Linked DNA regions of Canis lupus familiaris. The protein of the gene in region 2 purifies or fractionates together with the protein of the main gene of each other region. This does not show direct contact. Links are inferred from orthologs where the notes say so. Each region holds a gene or a part of one and is shown on either strand. Other genes may lie near its edges.

Evidence for each region.
Region 1: the proteins of NIPSNAP2 (region 2) and HADHA purify together in Homo sapiens (affinity purification with mass spectrometry; 3 studies listed by BioGRID and IntAct, with this or other methods). This does not show direct contact. The link is inferred for Canis lupus familiaris from reciprocal best matches to the Homo sapiens genes NIPSNAP2 and HADHA.

What each region holds. Positions count from the first base shown.
Region 1 is NC_049238.1:20,393,915-20,401,208, forward strand, and holds part of HADHA (trifunctional enzyme subunit alpha, mitochondrial), read right to left. Parts: intron 3,581-7,294; coding exon 3,458-3,580; intron 2,989-3,457; coding exon 2,870-2,988; intron 204-2,869; coding exon 147-203; intron 1-146. UniProt on the Homo sapiens protein: Mitochondrial trifunctional enzyme catalyzes the last three of the four reactions of the mitochondrial beta-oxidation pathway.
Region 2 is NC_049227.1:375,450-382,743, forward strand, and holds part of NIPSNAP2 (protein NipSnap homolog 2), read left to right. Parts: intron 1-2,088; coding exon 2,089-2,228; intron 2,229-2,310; coding exon 2,311-2,356; intron 2,357-5,488; coding exon 5,489-5,583; intron 5,584-5,937; coding exon 5,938-6,008; intron 6,009-6,813; coding exon 6,814-6,954; intron 6,955-7,294. UniProt on the Homo sapiens protein: Protein involved in mitophagy by facilitating recruitment of the autophagy machinery required for clearance of damaged mitochondria.

The DNA.
Region 1 (7,294 bases), on a different chromosome or scaffold from region 2:
CTGAGAGTAACCCTGAGAAATGATAGTCACCAGAAGAAAAACATTTTAGATAGACTTTGGGTACCTTTCCTTTTCTCAGCTTTATAAAAAGTTCTAGATCTTGGTTTTTCAGTAGCTAATAAAAAATTCAAAGGAAAGAACTTTACCTGAGATTCAGAGAGATAGCCAGCATCGTTCCCTTGCTCAATTCCAGTCTTTACCACCTAAAAAACACATAAAGCATTTGTTCATTGTTGCAAGGGATGGGCGAGATGCTCACTACCGTGAGTAAAACTGCTAGTTCATCAGTCTTCAAAGAGTAAGCCAAAAGTCTGGAAGCGGAGTAAGAAAGACAAGAGGACTGAATGGCTGCTTGCTTAAGACTTACTTTATTCTTGGGCCACCTGGGGGGCTCAGTTGGTTGAACATCTGCATTTGGCTCAGGTCATGATCCTAAGGTCCTGGGATGGAGCTCAGGAGGTCTGCTTCTCCCTCTGCCTATCCCCTCATTTGTGCTCACTCTCTTGCTCTTTTTTCCCCCTCTCTCAAATAAATGAATAAGTCTTAAAAAAGTTAAAAAAAAAAAAAAAAAAGACTGACTTCATTTTCCATCTCCAAGACTACTACTAAAACTAGTATAAAATGGAAGGAAATGAAATAGAAGAAAGTAATAAAAGTCAGAATGGGAAAAGATGACAGAGGTCCCACAGCTCAAACTCTTATCTCCTTATCCACTTCTAGACCACTATCCCAGCAGAGAAAAAGCTGCCACTGGCACTGCTCAAGTCTGAGAAAAGGTTTCCCCTTCCTTCTTGCTAAAATGGCTCTTCCAGCTTCTCTCTTGCTCTCCTACGTTAGTAGGCACATCCCCATAGTTACACTCTCAGCCCTTTTCTCCTTCCGTGCATTCTTCCTCAGGCCGATGGTCTCCTCTGTCATGTTACTCATGAATTCTATAAATTCAACTTAACATTTGAGGGAAGTCCTATCCTAAGTCCAAGTATAAAAGTCGAATTGACCCTGTATTCAATCACCACAATTTATGAGAAGGAAAAGTGGATATATATATACAAAAAAAACCAACCCACATATGAACAAATCTACATTCTTTATTTTTTTTATTTTTTATTTTTATTTATTTATTTTTTTTGGTTAAAAATTTTTTTAAATTTATTTTTTATTGGTATTCAATTTACCAACATACAGAATAACCCCCAGTGCCCGTCACCCATTCACTCCCACCCCTCGCCCTCCTCCCCTTCTACCACCCCTAGTTCGTTTCCCAGAGTTAGCAGTCTTTACGTTGTCTCCCTTTCTGATATTTCCCACACATTTCTTCTCCCTTCCCTTATATTCCCTTTCACTATTATTTATATTCCCCAAATGAATGAGAACATATAATGTTTGTCCTTCTCCGATTGACTTACTTCACTCAGCACAAATCTACATTCTTATCTTTTGTGTAAACTGTCACTTGAATTTCCTGAAACATCTAAACTCAGCACTTCTAAGACTTAACTCATAATCTCTTCTCTTTGGCAAGTCTCTTACTACCTTCACCTCTTTACTAATCTATCTTGGTAATGTCAAGTCTGAATGACCAAGATAGCTTCCAACTTCAAGTCTCTACTTGTCTCTCTTTCTAAATTGTTTATGACTTACTAGGACTATTATCTCTATGATCTATACAGGATGAAGGTCAAATTTCCAAATTCATTATTGTCCAAGTTCTAAAATCTAGGTTCATTTGGCCTTTTTGCACACATTTCAGTATCCTACAAAATCTGATCTCATTAAATGTTCCTTGAAGAACCTCATGCTTTCCAGCTTCTGTAACTTTGCTCAAAATGCCCACCCTACCTGGTACCACTTTCTCTTCACTTTCCAGGGCTCAGGTCAAATTCTATGATGCTCTGGGATGCCTGGGTGGCTCAGCGGTTGAGCATCTGCCTTTAGCTCAGGGCGTGATCCCGGGTCTGGGGATCGAGTCCCACATTGGGTTCTCTGTGGGGAGCATGCTTCTCCCTCTGCCTCTTTCTCTGTGTGTCTCATGAATAAATAAATCAAATCTTAAAAAAAATTATAGGAGGCTCTTCCTAATCTCTCTGGCTTACAGTGACTGTTGCCTCCTCTGTGCATTTAGCAATCTTCCTCTGTTCAATTATCTGGCAGTGATCCCAGGGTGGCATCTAACATCCCTTCCATTAGTTACCTGTCCCAGCACAGACACACATCTAATCTCCCCAAACTGGGAGATGGGTGTGAGAAGGGAATCATGTGTCCTATTTATGCATTTTGGTGTCTTTCCTCAAAATATATTTGTTGGCTGATTTATTGCCCATTTTCAAAGTCTTAGATTACATGTTCTCTTAATCTTAGATACTAAAGACTGAAGACTAAAGAGTTTCTAAGTTTTAAAGTCTACCTTTAGACAGAAGTTCTTAACCCTGTGATCATTTTATTTATCCTCCTTGATCTTTTTCAGAACTTTTCTGTATCATTACATTTTTTTGATAATTACAGCAATGGGGAAGTCAATAAGGCATTTTAGGTACTGCAATGTTTTCAACCGAGGCCATCAATTTTGTTTCAACTACCTTTTAATTAATGCCCAGGATTTCACTGGCCTTGTTATTCTGATATAACAGGTTTTCTATTTTTTCCTGTTTTATAACTGGTAGTTTTAAATTCCTTATGCCCAGCACTCATTATCCCCAAAATAATCAGTTTATGAGCCCTCATGGCTTGCTTGCTTTATTTTTAGTGAGTACTGTAATAACAGAATTAAGAACTATAGTACCAGAAGACATAGTTCGGAATGGCAATAAAGAATACTGCTCTATAAAGGGAGGAAACATGAGAAATGTGGGAATATGGGGTGAAGACTCACATCGATTATTTTCAGAGGTGCAGGATAAAGGCCTTTGGTCTGTTTTCGTACTTTTTCTTCCACCTTTTTGTAAACCTGTTGTCTGACAAAAGGAATACTCAGGGCATATGACGTCAATTCTGCAAAAGAAAATGGTTTTTAGATACTTACTGGAAAAAGCCTAGTCTCCCTTCTTAGTTTGTTCTGTAAACTCCATAAAAATGCAGTAATTGTAGCTATCTGAAAGAACTTTTCACTTTGATATACAAAATCCAAATTGCAACCTAAGCACTTCTATACACATGGTTTAATTAGTTGATAAATACTAAAGTTGGGTGTTGGGTGCATGGGTGTTTATTACAGTATTATATATTATTCTGCTTTTGTATTAATGCTTCAAATTTTCCAAAATAAAAAATTGAAAAAAAACATGGCTGTAACCAACCAGTGTAAGGTTTAGGACTTGAACCTAGAGCAGTTGTTACACTCCTTAAGGATGACTCTATACTTAGAGTAAAAAAAAAAAAACGCATTTACCTCCTCATTTTATAACAAAATTAAACTCTCTGGAGAGAACCTTTGCCTTAGTTCTTTAATAATGACACTCACTTTCTACTAATCCCTTGTCTCTCTTTATGGAGATTTTCTTATCAGATAGTCCTTTGGCAAAATTAACTGCAACTTCTTCTAAGTATTCAATTGTCCGTTCCTCTGGAGGTTTTAATCCTGGTCCTGTAAAAATGAACACAACAGATTAGAATGTAAATCATTTTCAGCATAGCTTTCCATGTTATACTAGAGACTGGTAGGTGCCAAGTTATGAGCTATGGACTCAAAGAATATAAGAAGTAACACTGAGCAAGGGTGTAACAATGTACTCTAGATAGAAAACCAGGTCTTAAGTCTGGCTTCCATTTCTGAGTAGGATGTAGAATGTCTCATGAGGCCTGTATTCTTGCTGCAAAACTGCAGACAAAAATGAATAAACTGTAAAACCACACATTCATAAAGCTATGAGAGAGTGGTAGAAGCAATGAGGACCATATGAACTAAAATTCCAGACAGGGAAGAGCTTGCCTGAAGTGAACTGATGATTGCTGGATGTTTTCTTTTCTGAGGTTATATGATTCTTTTGGGCATGGGCTGAAGATTAGAGTTGGCTCAAGCAGAAGGATGCTCCTGGGAGCAAGTGAAATGATCAGTTTTAGGAGGTCATGTACAATACATTATAAGCTAGAAGAAACCAAATGCAAAGCTAGTCTTTCCCCATGGAACATTCATGGAATTCTAAGGTGGTATAGGAGGCTGGAAGGGCTGGGTCAAAGAGCTGGAGGGAAATCTCTCACAGTGTGATGATGTGTAGCACATAAAGTACTTCTATAGAGAAAGGAATATGCCAATAATAATGTAACTCATTTTCTACTTAAGGCATCTACTCTATACTGAACTTGTTTGAGGAAAGAGACTAAAGAGATAGGCTCCGAAATTCCAAAGGCTATTTTTACAGGGTTGTGTAAACAGACATCCTGTGTCTATTGGTGACTGGGGTTCAAAAGGCAATTTTGTGCAGTCTTGTGGTATGAAGGAAACAAAATCCCAATAGTAAAAGGAGGCTGAAACAAATTTGCAATCATATTTTTATCTCTCTTATGATACATGCCCTATTGTGAAAGTATGTGAAAGAGGATGAAAAAGAAAAGCCTTGGGATGCCCGGGTGGCTCAGATGGTTAAGGAATCTGTCTTTGGGCACAGGTCATGATTGTAGGGTCTGGGATGGAGCCCTGAATTGGGCTCTCTGCTCAGCGGGGAGTCTGTTTCTCCCTCTTCCTGCCACTCCCCCTGCTTGTGCTCTCTCTGTGTGTCTCAAATGAATAACAAAAACAAAAAGCTCCAACTTGTGAGAGGTAAAAATGCAGAGGGCCCACAAAAGTCTCAAGGAGCCTGCAGGGAGGCCAGTGCAGCTGGAACCTGTGGAGTAGAGTCCTGGAGGGCAGCTGCTCCACAAAAGGAGGACTCCAGGTACCTACAGAGGGCCCCTGAAACTCTGGATGAGTACTGTTAACCACGTGCATGAGATGAAACTGCAAGAGGCAAACTGACTGATACAAACATGCAGAAATGAAGACAGAAGTAGCAGACAATGTTAGAAAGGCTATTATTGTAAATGCATGCTATACATTCAAGAAGGTAGAGGAAAGCAGAAACATAATGAAGAGAAACTGAATACATAAAAGTGAATCAAATGTTACTTCTAGATAGGAAATGAAAGATACACAAGATTGGGTTAATAGTAGATTATACACCAAAGAAAAAAAGATCAGGAAACTTGAATACATGGCAATAGAAAATATACAGATGGAAAAAGAAAAATTGCTTCATTTTGGGACCGTATCAAGTAAATCTAACATAGGTGAAGTTGGAGCTGCAGAGAAGGGGTGGGGGGAAGATGGGAAAATATTGGAATTAATGGCCAAAAAGTTTCCAATTTGGTCAAAACTACAAATCCACTATCCAAGAAACTCAATGAATGCCATGCCCAATGAACATTAAAAAACAACAGTAACTATAGCAACAACAACAAACCAAGATACACCATAACACATGATTAAGACTAAGTAATAAAGGGAAGATCTGACAGTGGGGGCAAGGGCGGTGAAGGGGAGAGACACATTATAAACAGAAGAACAAAGATAAAAATGAGAACAGACTTTCTATCAGAAATTATGCAAGCCATGACATGATGTTGACACATCCATAAAGTACCCCCCCCAAAAAATAAATAAAGTACAAGAACCTAGAATTCTGTGGCACTCAAGAATATCTTTAGAAAAATAAGTGGAAATAAAGGCTGTCAAACAAATCAAAAGGTGAGAGACTCCATTGCCAGCAGACCTATGCGACTGAATATGTCAAGTTCTTCAGGTTGGAGGAAAATCAAACCAGATGGGAACTTGGAGCTATACAAAGAAAGAGCACTCAAAATGGTAACCATGTGGGTATATATAGAAAACTCTCTTCTCATTTTTAATCTCCTTAAAAGATGACTATTGAAAACAAAGATAGCAATATGCTGAGGAATATATAATATATTTAGAAATGAAATGTTGAGACACTGATACCATTTGCAGTAGAAAATCTGTTATAACTTTTGATGCCCCCAAAACTTAACTACCAATAGCCTACTACTGATCAGAAGGTGTACCAATAACATAAATAGTTGATAACATATTTTGTGTATGTATTACATACTGTATTCCTATAATAAAGTAAGCTACGGGAAAAAAAAGTTAAGAAAAAAAGGAACTACGTTTACAGTACTATATAAAAATCTGTGTGTAAATGGACCCACACAGTTTGAACTTATATCATACAAGGGTCAACTGTATATTCTTTTAAGGTTCTTACCTTATAGGTAAAATGATACATCATTTCCAGATAGATCATATGTTAAGGATATAGACTATAAACCTTAGAGTAACCATTAAAAGGGTAAAGCAAAGTAAAAGCCCAATAGTGAGGGTAAAAAATTACTAATCCAAATGAAAGAAGGAAGGAAAAACAGGACAAATAGAAAACAAGTAGCATCAAATGAAGTTGAAATGCTAGAACTGTGTTGGTATGCTGTAGAGGAAGCTAATGAAAGGCTTAAGGAAACTGGAATGTTAACGTGGATTTATGATGTTAGACCTGCTCAGCCAACCTGGAAAGGTTAGAGGACACATCTTTCACCATGACTGTAAGAAATCAATTTGGGGGAAGATGGCATGCTTGAAGGGCTGTGTCGTTATTCTTCTCTGTAGGTCACAAATCACAGTGGGAACTGCTACCATCAATTGGGATCCTAGGGTGGCTGAGGCCAAATAGCAACATTTAACTGCCAAAGGCAAACTGAGTATGGTTATCATAATGGACAGCAGAACCAAAGTAGTAATCAGAATAGTGTGACTTACAGAGACCTATAGCACTGGCTAGTTGATCATGGTGTCCCTAGGAAAGAAATAGATGGTAAGTCTACTATAGTCTTACTTGATCTGTATGAGAGAATTCTAGTTCTAGTAAATAGAGGTATAACCTAAACCACCAAAGAAAGTCATGGGCCCTCATCATTTCCCTGCAATGAGTCAGTTTACAGACCCAGAACCTCTTGAATTAAGGGGAGGTTGCATTTCCATAATGGGAATATACTGTTAATCTTCCTCCCAGCCTTCCCCAAAGGGATCCTATATGGTCATTAACCTTGGGGAAAGGGAAATATAGTAATCAGATTTTGGGTGGGATTACTGGACACTGGCTCTGAACTGATGCTAATTCCAGGAGACCCAAAATATCTCTCTAGGTTCACCAGTCAGATTGGGGCTTATAAAGTCAAGAAATCCATGGAGTTTTAGTTCAGTTCTATCTCACAGTGGGCTTACTGGATCCCTGAACCCATCCTGTGGTTATTT
Region 2 (7,294 bases):
GAATCTAGGGGATCCCTGGGTGGCTCAGTGGTTTGGCGCCTGCCTTTGGCCCAGGGCGCGATCCTGGAGTCCCGGGATCGAGTCCTGCATTGGGCTCCCAGCATGGAGCCTGCTTCTCCCTCCTCCTGTGTCTCTGCCTCTCTCTCTCTCTCTCTATCATAAATAAATAAATCTTTTTTAAAAAAATTTTTAAAGAAAGAATCTATTTCATTTTCCCTGTATATTTTACCTTTTATTGTTGTTAAGTGCATATAACATAGAACTTACTATTTTAGTCATATTTAAGTATACAATTTAGTAGTAGCATTAAGTAAATTCACACTGTTGTACAACCATTATAACCATTCATCTCTAGAACTCTCACTTTCCCAAACTCTGTGCCCATTAAACAGTAACTCCCCATTCTCCTCTCACCTCAGCCCCTAGCAACCACTATATTACTTTCTTTCTCTATGAACTCAACTACTCTAGGTTACCATATGTATTTTTTCTAGGTCAGAAATTGCTTTGGAGCAGGGAAAAACACATAGCAAAAATGGCAAAGATAAACATGAACTCTGTAAAAAGATATTCAGCATCACAGTCGTCAGGGAAATGCAAATCAGAAGTACAGTGAATATCACCTATGTGTCAGAATGGCTATTATCAAAAAGATAAAAAATAACAAGTGTTGGCAAGGATGTGGAGAAAAGGGAACCCTTATGCACTAGTGGTGGGAATGTAAATTGGTTCGGCCGTTGTGGAAAACAATATGGAGGGGTCCTCAAAAAATTATTAGAAACATAAAGAGGAGTAGAAGGTACAGGGCTTCCAGTTATGAATAAGGCACAAGGACGAGGGGTACAGCCTAAGGAATATAGGGAAAAAGAAAAATACCATACAATCTAGTAATTCCACTACTGGGTATTTAACTAAAGAAAACAAACTCATTTAAAAAGATACATGCACCCATATATTTATTGCAGCATTATTTACAATAGCCAAGATATGGAAGCAACCCAAATGTTTATCAATAGATGAATGGATAAAGATATGGTATGGGGAACCCTGGGTGGCGCAGCGGTTTGACACCTGCCTTTGGCCCAGGGCACGATCCTGGAGACCCGGGATCGAATCCCACGTCGGGCTCCCGGCATGGAGCCTGCTTCTCCCTCCTCCTGTGTCTCTGCCTCTCTCTCTCTCTCTGTGTGACTATCATAAAAAAAAAAAAAAGATATGGTATGTATATACACAATGGAATATTACTCAGCCATAAAAAAGTAAGATCTTTCCATTTGTGACAACATGGGTGGAACTGAAGGGTATTGTGCTAAGTAAAATAAGAGAAAAACAAATACCACACAATTTCACTTATATGTGGAATCTAAAAAACAAATAAAGAAACCAACTGTTAAATGTAGAAAACAAACTGGTGACTACCAGAGGGGAGGTAGGATGAGGAGATCGGCAAAGTAGGATTAAGAGGTGCAAGCTTCCAGGGGCACCTGGGTGGCTCCATTGGTTAAGTGTCCAATTTTGGCTCAAGTCATGATCTCAGTCGCGAAGTCAAGCTCCAGGTCGGGCTTTGCACTGGGCATGGAGCCTGCTTGAGATTCTCTCTCTCGCCCTCCCCACCCCCCAAATAAATGAATACAATCTTAAAAAAAAAAAAAAGTGCAAACTTCCAGTTATAAAATAAGTCACAGAGATGAAAAAGTAAAACATGGACAATATAGTCAATAATACTGTGGTAATGCTGGATGATGACCGATGGTACCTGCACTTATATATAACTGAATCAGTATGTTGTACACCTGAAAACATTGTATACCAACTATAGTTATAACTTTAAAACAAAAAAAATAGCTCTCTTAGGAGAAACACAAGTTACATCTTTTACAGTTTGCTCCTGCTGTTTAGATTGCATGCTATCCTAACAGAATTTTGCGTACCCCAGGTTCTATAACAATGCCTAGAATAGGTGCTCAAGGAGTGTTTGCTGAATGGATTGCTTTTACGAAAACAATGTACTATGTGACATTATCTCAAGATCCTAAAATCTTCATACCACTAATGAGACTCAAATTTTTATATTTTGTTATTCCATAGGAGATTGACATCCTCCAATAATAGACCTCGAGAAGACAGCTGGTTAAAATCCTTATTTGTCCGGAAAGTTGATCCAAGAAAAGATGCTCACTCTAATCTCCTGGCCAAAAAGGAAACAAGCAGTCTATATAAATTGCAGTGTGAGTGATAGGTTTGCTATCTTCATAGTTGACTTTTTTCCCTTTGTTCATAAGTTTATCGTTGAATTTTCTTTTGTTTCAGTTCACAATGTTAAACCGGAATGCCTAGAAGCATACAACAAAATTTGGTGTGTATACCAGACTATACTTTACTTGGGGAAAATTAACAATTTGAATATTTGTTGGTTCAGCTAACACTAGACAGCAGAGTGAGATCTTTGATCCCTCTTCTTGAAGCTGAATGTTCAGAGGCTCTTAAATTGAGCTTTGTGTGGGATTGCCAAGGACATTTTGATTTTAAGGACTCACACGGCTAACTTATCACATAAGTGCTCAGACGTTAGAATGTTCCAGCCTCTTAAGGTTGGAAGCAGGTACCTTGTAAGGCCATCTAGTCCATCTACTCATCCGTGCTTGAGTCCTTTCTGCAGATCTTCATGACTGCCTGTGTTTAAGTACATTCATACATTCCATCTCTGGACAGCTTTTAGTGTTAGGAATTAGAACTCACACCCTGGTGACCTCGACCTCCATTGTTTCCAGCTTTACTCCTGAGTAAAATTTCACATGAAAGTCCTATATGTATTTGAATATAGCCACCATTTCTTCTCAAGTCTTCCAGTTACCAGGATTAAAGTCCCTTTGGCAGATTCCCAAACAATAATGAGATCCATATGCTCTTACAGAATTTGTAAACTTCAAGACTAAAGAGAGAATTAAGTGCATTTGTTCTCATTTAAGGTAGCAAATTGTATTTTAATGATTGATTTTGAGCAAGTATCATTTAAAAGCATTTTTTTTACCTTTCTTATCTGCTACCTTCATGAAAAAGCAAATGATTTTGTCACCAGAATCAGTATAATTTTCAGATGCAAAAATCTTTTGTTATTTTGGGAGGTGATTCGTGAAATATAACATTAGCATAGAGTTTCTTAATCACCTCAACACAGTTCTTTTTATTTAAAAATGTCCTAAGACAAAGCAGATCTTACTTCTAAATCTTTTTTCCTAAAATGAAATTTCTTGTCCGTGGTAATGTTTCCCTGGATTATCTTTCTTGTCCTGTTTGTATCACTTCATCTCCTGTCTCAGATATTCATCTCCTGTCTATTCATATTTCCATTCAGATGTCTTTCTCTGCCTTCAACCTCAACATTAGAATCACCTGACTCTTCTCACATATGTCACTCACCATGGTTTTATTTAACCTTTTCCTTAGTCCTATGCAATTGGTGCATTCTTCATTTGATACGCATTTTGATTCGTTTCATCTCCTTCTCCATCTCCCTCTCCCAGCTGGTTAAGCCCCATTTCTAAGTAGCATCCTTTTTGACTGCCTTCTTGGCCTCAAGGTTGTATCTGTACCTTGCCCCACACCCAATCCATTACTTCGAAGTTTGTCAAATTGATCTCCCTGAGTCTGCTTTCCCTGCATCATGTTTTTTTCTTTTCTCTGATACTTTCAGCAGCTCCCTGTTTCCAGTATATAAAGACTTAACTCCTTCCTGGTTTTTAGGGGCCCAATGATGAGGTTCTGCCCAGCGCATCCAATTCTGAGTACAAGTACTACCTGCCTTACAGCTGTCATTCATGTAAGGCCAGGGTTTCCCAGAACAGCTTTGGAGTCCCCAGCAAAAAAGATATGCCTTCGTATTGGTGAAAAACCTGGGCCCCATCATCAGGCCCCAGCCCCTTTCTGGACTCCACGTGGGTCATCTGTACAGGTTTTCTTCTACACTGGCTCCCATTCAGGGTTGTCATGACAAAAAAGGAAATCCATTTCCAATAACTTCACATAATCCATTTTTCCCCACCCCTGATTTCTATCAGTCCCATGTTATTTCTAATATTAATCTTTTTGACCCAGTACGATGATCACACCATATGTATTTTTTGAAGGGTGGCATTTCACCCTTCAAAATGTGGTCATTAGGGGATCCCTGGGTGGCCCAGCGGTTGAGTATCTGCCTTCAGTCCAGGGTGTGATCCTGGGATCCGGGATCAAGTCCCGCGTCGGTTTCCCCACAGGGAGCCTGCTTCTCCCTCTGTCTGTGTCTCTGCCTCTCTCTCTGTGTGTCTCTCATGAATAAATAAATAAAATCTTTAAAAAAAAATGTGGTCATTGTACTGGGTCATAAACATGTATGGGTTTTCATTTAGCTAGACATTAGAGACAATTCTGAGCTTTTCTCTCTTAATTGCATGTGCACTCAGTTCTGGTGGCCCAGCCTCTGATAGTGATCACTCACTTAATTGGCACTCAGTGTCAACAAATAGTTGGAACAGGTTCCATTTCTGACCCTTGAAATCCTTTTGCATTTATTGTTGAATCTGTACTGTACATAATTTTTCTCTTCAAAAAATATGCATGTTTAGCTTTTATTTTGGGATGGCACAGTTATGGCTCTTCCTTTTGCCTTGCTCTGTATACTAATCTGTACCATACAAAGGTTTCCATGGTTAAATTAACATACTGCCAGGACCTGTCACAGCTTTGCCACTGCTCCTGTACAACCCCTGGTAATGAACTGCAGGGGTGGGGTGGGATGCAACATGGGATTATATGGTACTTGTTAAATCCTGTCTGCTGGTTAAATGGAATCGAACCCATGTTATGGTCCATGTTGCATTTTAATTTGGATTCTTCTGCCATGTTGATGCCCTCTGGGACAGTTGGAGCTGCGTTGCTTCCGGATTCTATTGTGTTCTAGCTCCATCCTCTTCCTCCTTACAGCCAGCTTGTTCTCTGCCTCTGCTAGCTGCCTGCTCATGCTGCTTCTGTTGTCTCCCGATCTTAAACATTACTTTCTTCTCTTATTTCTTCTGTGCTGTTTTTCTACTATTCCTGTTTCTCTCCTTCTTGTCTTGGGAACCAGCAGAACTTAGCTTTTAGAGACTTCACCCTTCCTAGGTACTTCTCCCATCCGCCCCCCTCCTGAAATAGCAAATAGTAGACCCATGTAGTTCCTGGAATCCTGGGACCTTTGGCTCTTCCTTATCCATTTTTATCACTGTACTTGAGTTGTTTACAACTATTCTAGGTAGTTGGGATAACAGAAACCTAAGCCTCTGTCTGATAAGTGGAAAATTAGAGTGCAGCAGAATTCAGCTAAAAGTTTAATTCTGTACATCATTTTATCATAAATATATTCTGAGATCAGTTGTCAGAGTAGATGGCCTTTTTCCTACTGCTGACCATGTGTTGTCTACCTGGTATAATCTTGTCAGTTTAATTAGTGTTGCTATTTCTTCTCTTTAAGTCAAGAGGTGTTGCCAAAGATTCACGAAGATAAGCATTACCCTTGTACTTTGGTGGGGACTTGGAACACGTGGTATGGCGAGCAGGATCAAGCTGGTAGGAAGCAGAAGTCTTTGGAATAAACCTTTGTCCCCAAGCCTTTACTGTTAATGACCTAAATAATACTAAATTTAATGCTTGTTTTTATAATCAAAGCCTTATAAGTCTTAGTCTAGTTTTATTGTTAAAGTAGTTTATCCAGCAACTGATTGCAAAAACTACTAATTTTTTGGTTTTTTTTTGCTTTAACATTTGAATCCATTATTGAAACTCTATGGTGTAACTCATATGCCAACACGTGGCTCATTACAGTTTCGTATGATGTTAACATTGTGTATATGTAGATTATTTTCAAGGTAAGGAGTATCATGAAACTCTAAATGTATGTTACCTTTTAAAAATATATTTCAGTCCACCTCTGGAGGTATGAAGGAGGCTATCCAGCCCTCACAGAAGTCATGAATAAACTCAGAGAAAATCAGGTAGTGATTTTGAAAAATGTTTATTCAGACTAGTGATGTAATAAATGATAGGACATAATTAAATGACTTTTCTATCATCATTTTTTTAATATTAATAAATTTTTTTGTAGTAAAAGTTTTATTATTTGGATTCTTAAAGTTGTATCAAAACATAATTAACCAGTTGTAATACTATTAACATAGCAGTTCTTATTGTAAAAGTCAGTTGTATTTTGAAACTCGTGAGCTAGTACTTTCATGCCAGTAAGTCAGCATGGTAGACACAGTCAGCCCTGGATTACCCAACACTTAATCTGCTTCAGGAACTGCCAGCCACATAGTCTCTCCCTTGGGCTGACTTCCTTCCTCCCCCTCCCTTCAGTAATAGGTGCAGGTCAATGAAGAGAATTTTAACAGCCACACATTATTAGGAAAGAAAACCTTTTGTGTAGATAGATTCCCAGTCCAAATATAAGTGGCTTTTGGACCATCTGGTATTTTGTAGTCTCTGTGTCACTTCTATTAATATGTTGTCAGACACTGTTAGGAGAACTCAAAAATGTAGGAAATTGAATTTGCTTACATTGTTATTTAAATAATTAGGATGGCTATGTAGTTTGTCATCTAAACCTGGATACTTTTGAGAGTGAAAGTGAATGCTAATAGTTATTTTGCCAGTTCAACAAAATGTAAGCTGGGGGCTGTCTCAGGCCACCTAGGACCCTATTTATGATAGTATTCTATTATAGGAGGAACATAAATGATACAAAAATGGGTTTATATGTAAACACTAAAGGATATCATCAGCACATTTTTTCCCTCAAAGGAATTTGTGGAATTCCGCAAGGCAAGAAGCAACATGCTTCTCTCTAGGAAGAATCAGCTGCTGTTGGAATTCAGTTTCTGGAATGAGCCTATCCCACGGTCAGGACCTAATATATATGAACTCAGATCTTACCAGCTCCGAGTAAGTACTGAAACCTAAACTAGAAATCTCTAAGTTAACAGCCCTCTCATTATTCTGTGAGGAGATGTGAGCACCCCTTAATGCCAATAGCAAAAGTTAAGTTTACATTTTGTGATGTGTGTTTGGCATAATATCTTGATTGGTTTGTTTTCTCCAATGCCCATTCCTGTCTTCTTTCCTTTTTTTTTTTATCTTATTCTCTTTCATTTCATCTCCTAAGCTCTTTTGTTTCATATAATCTTTATATAGTGTTTTTTTTTTTTTTTTTTTATTTATGATAGTCACAGAGAGAGAGAGAGAGAGAGAGAGGCAGAGACACAGGCAGAGGGAGAAGCAGGCT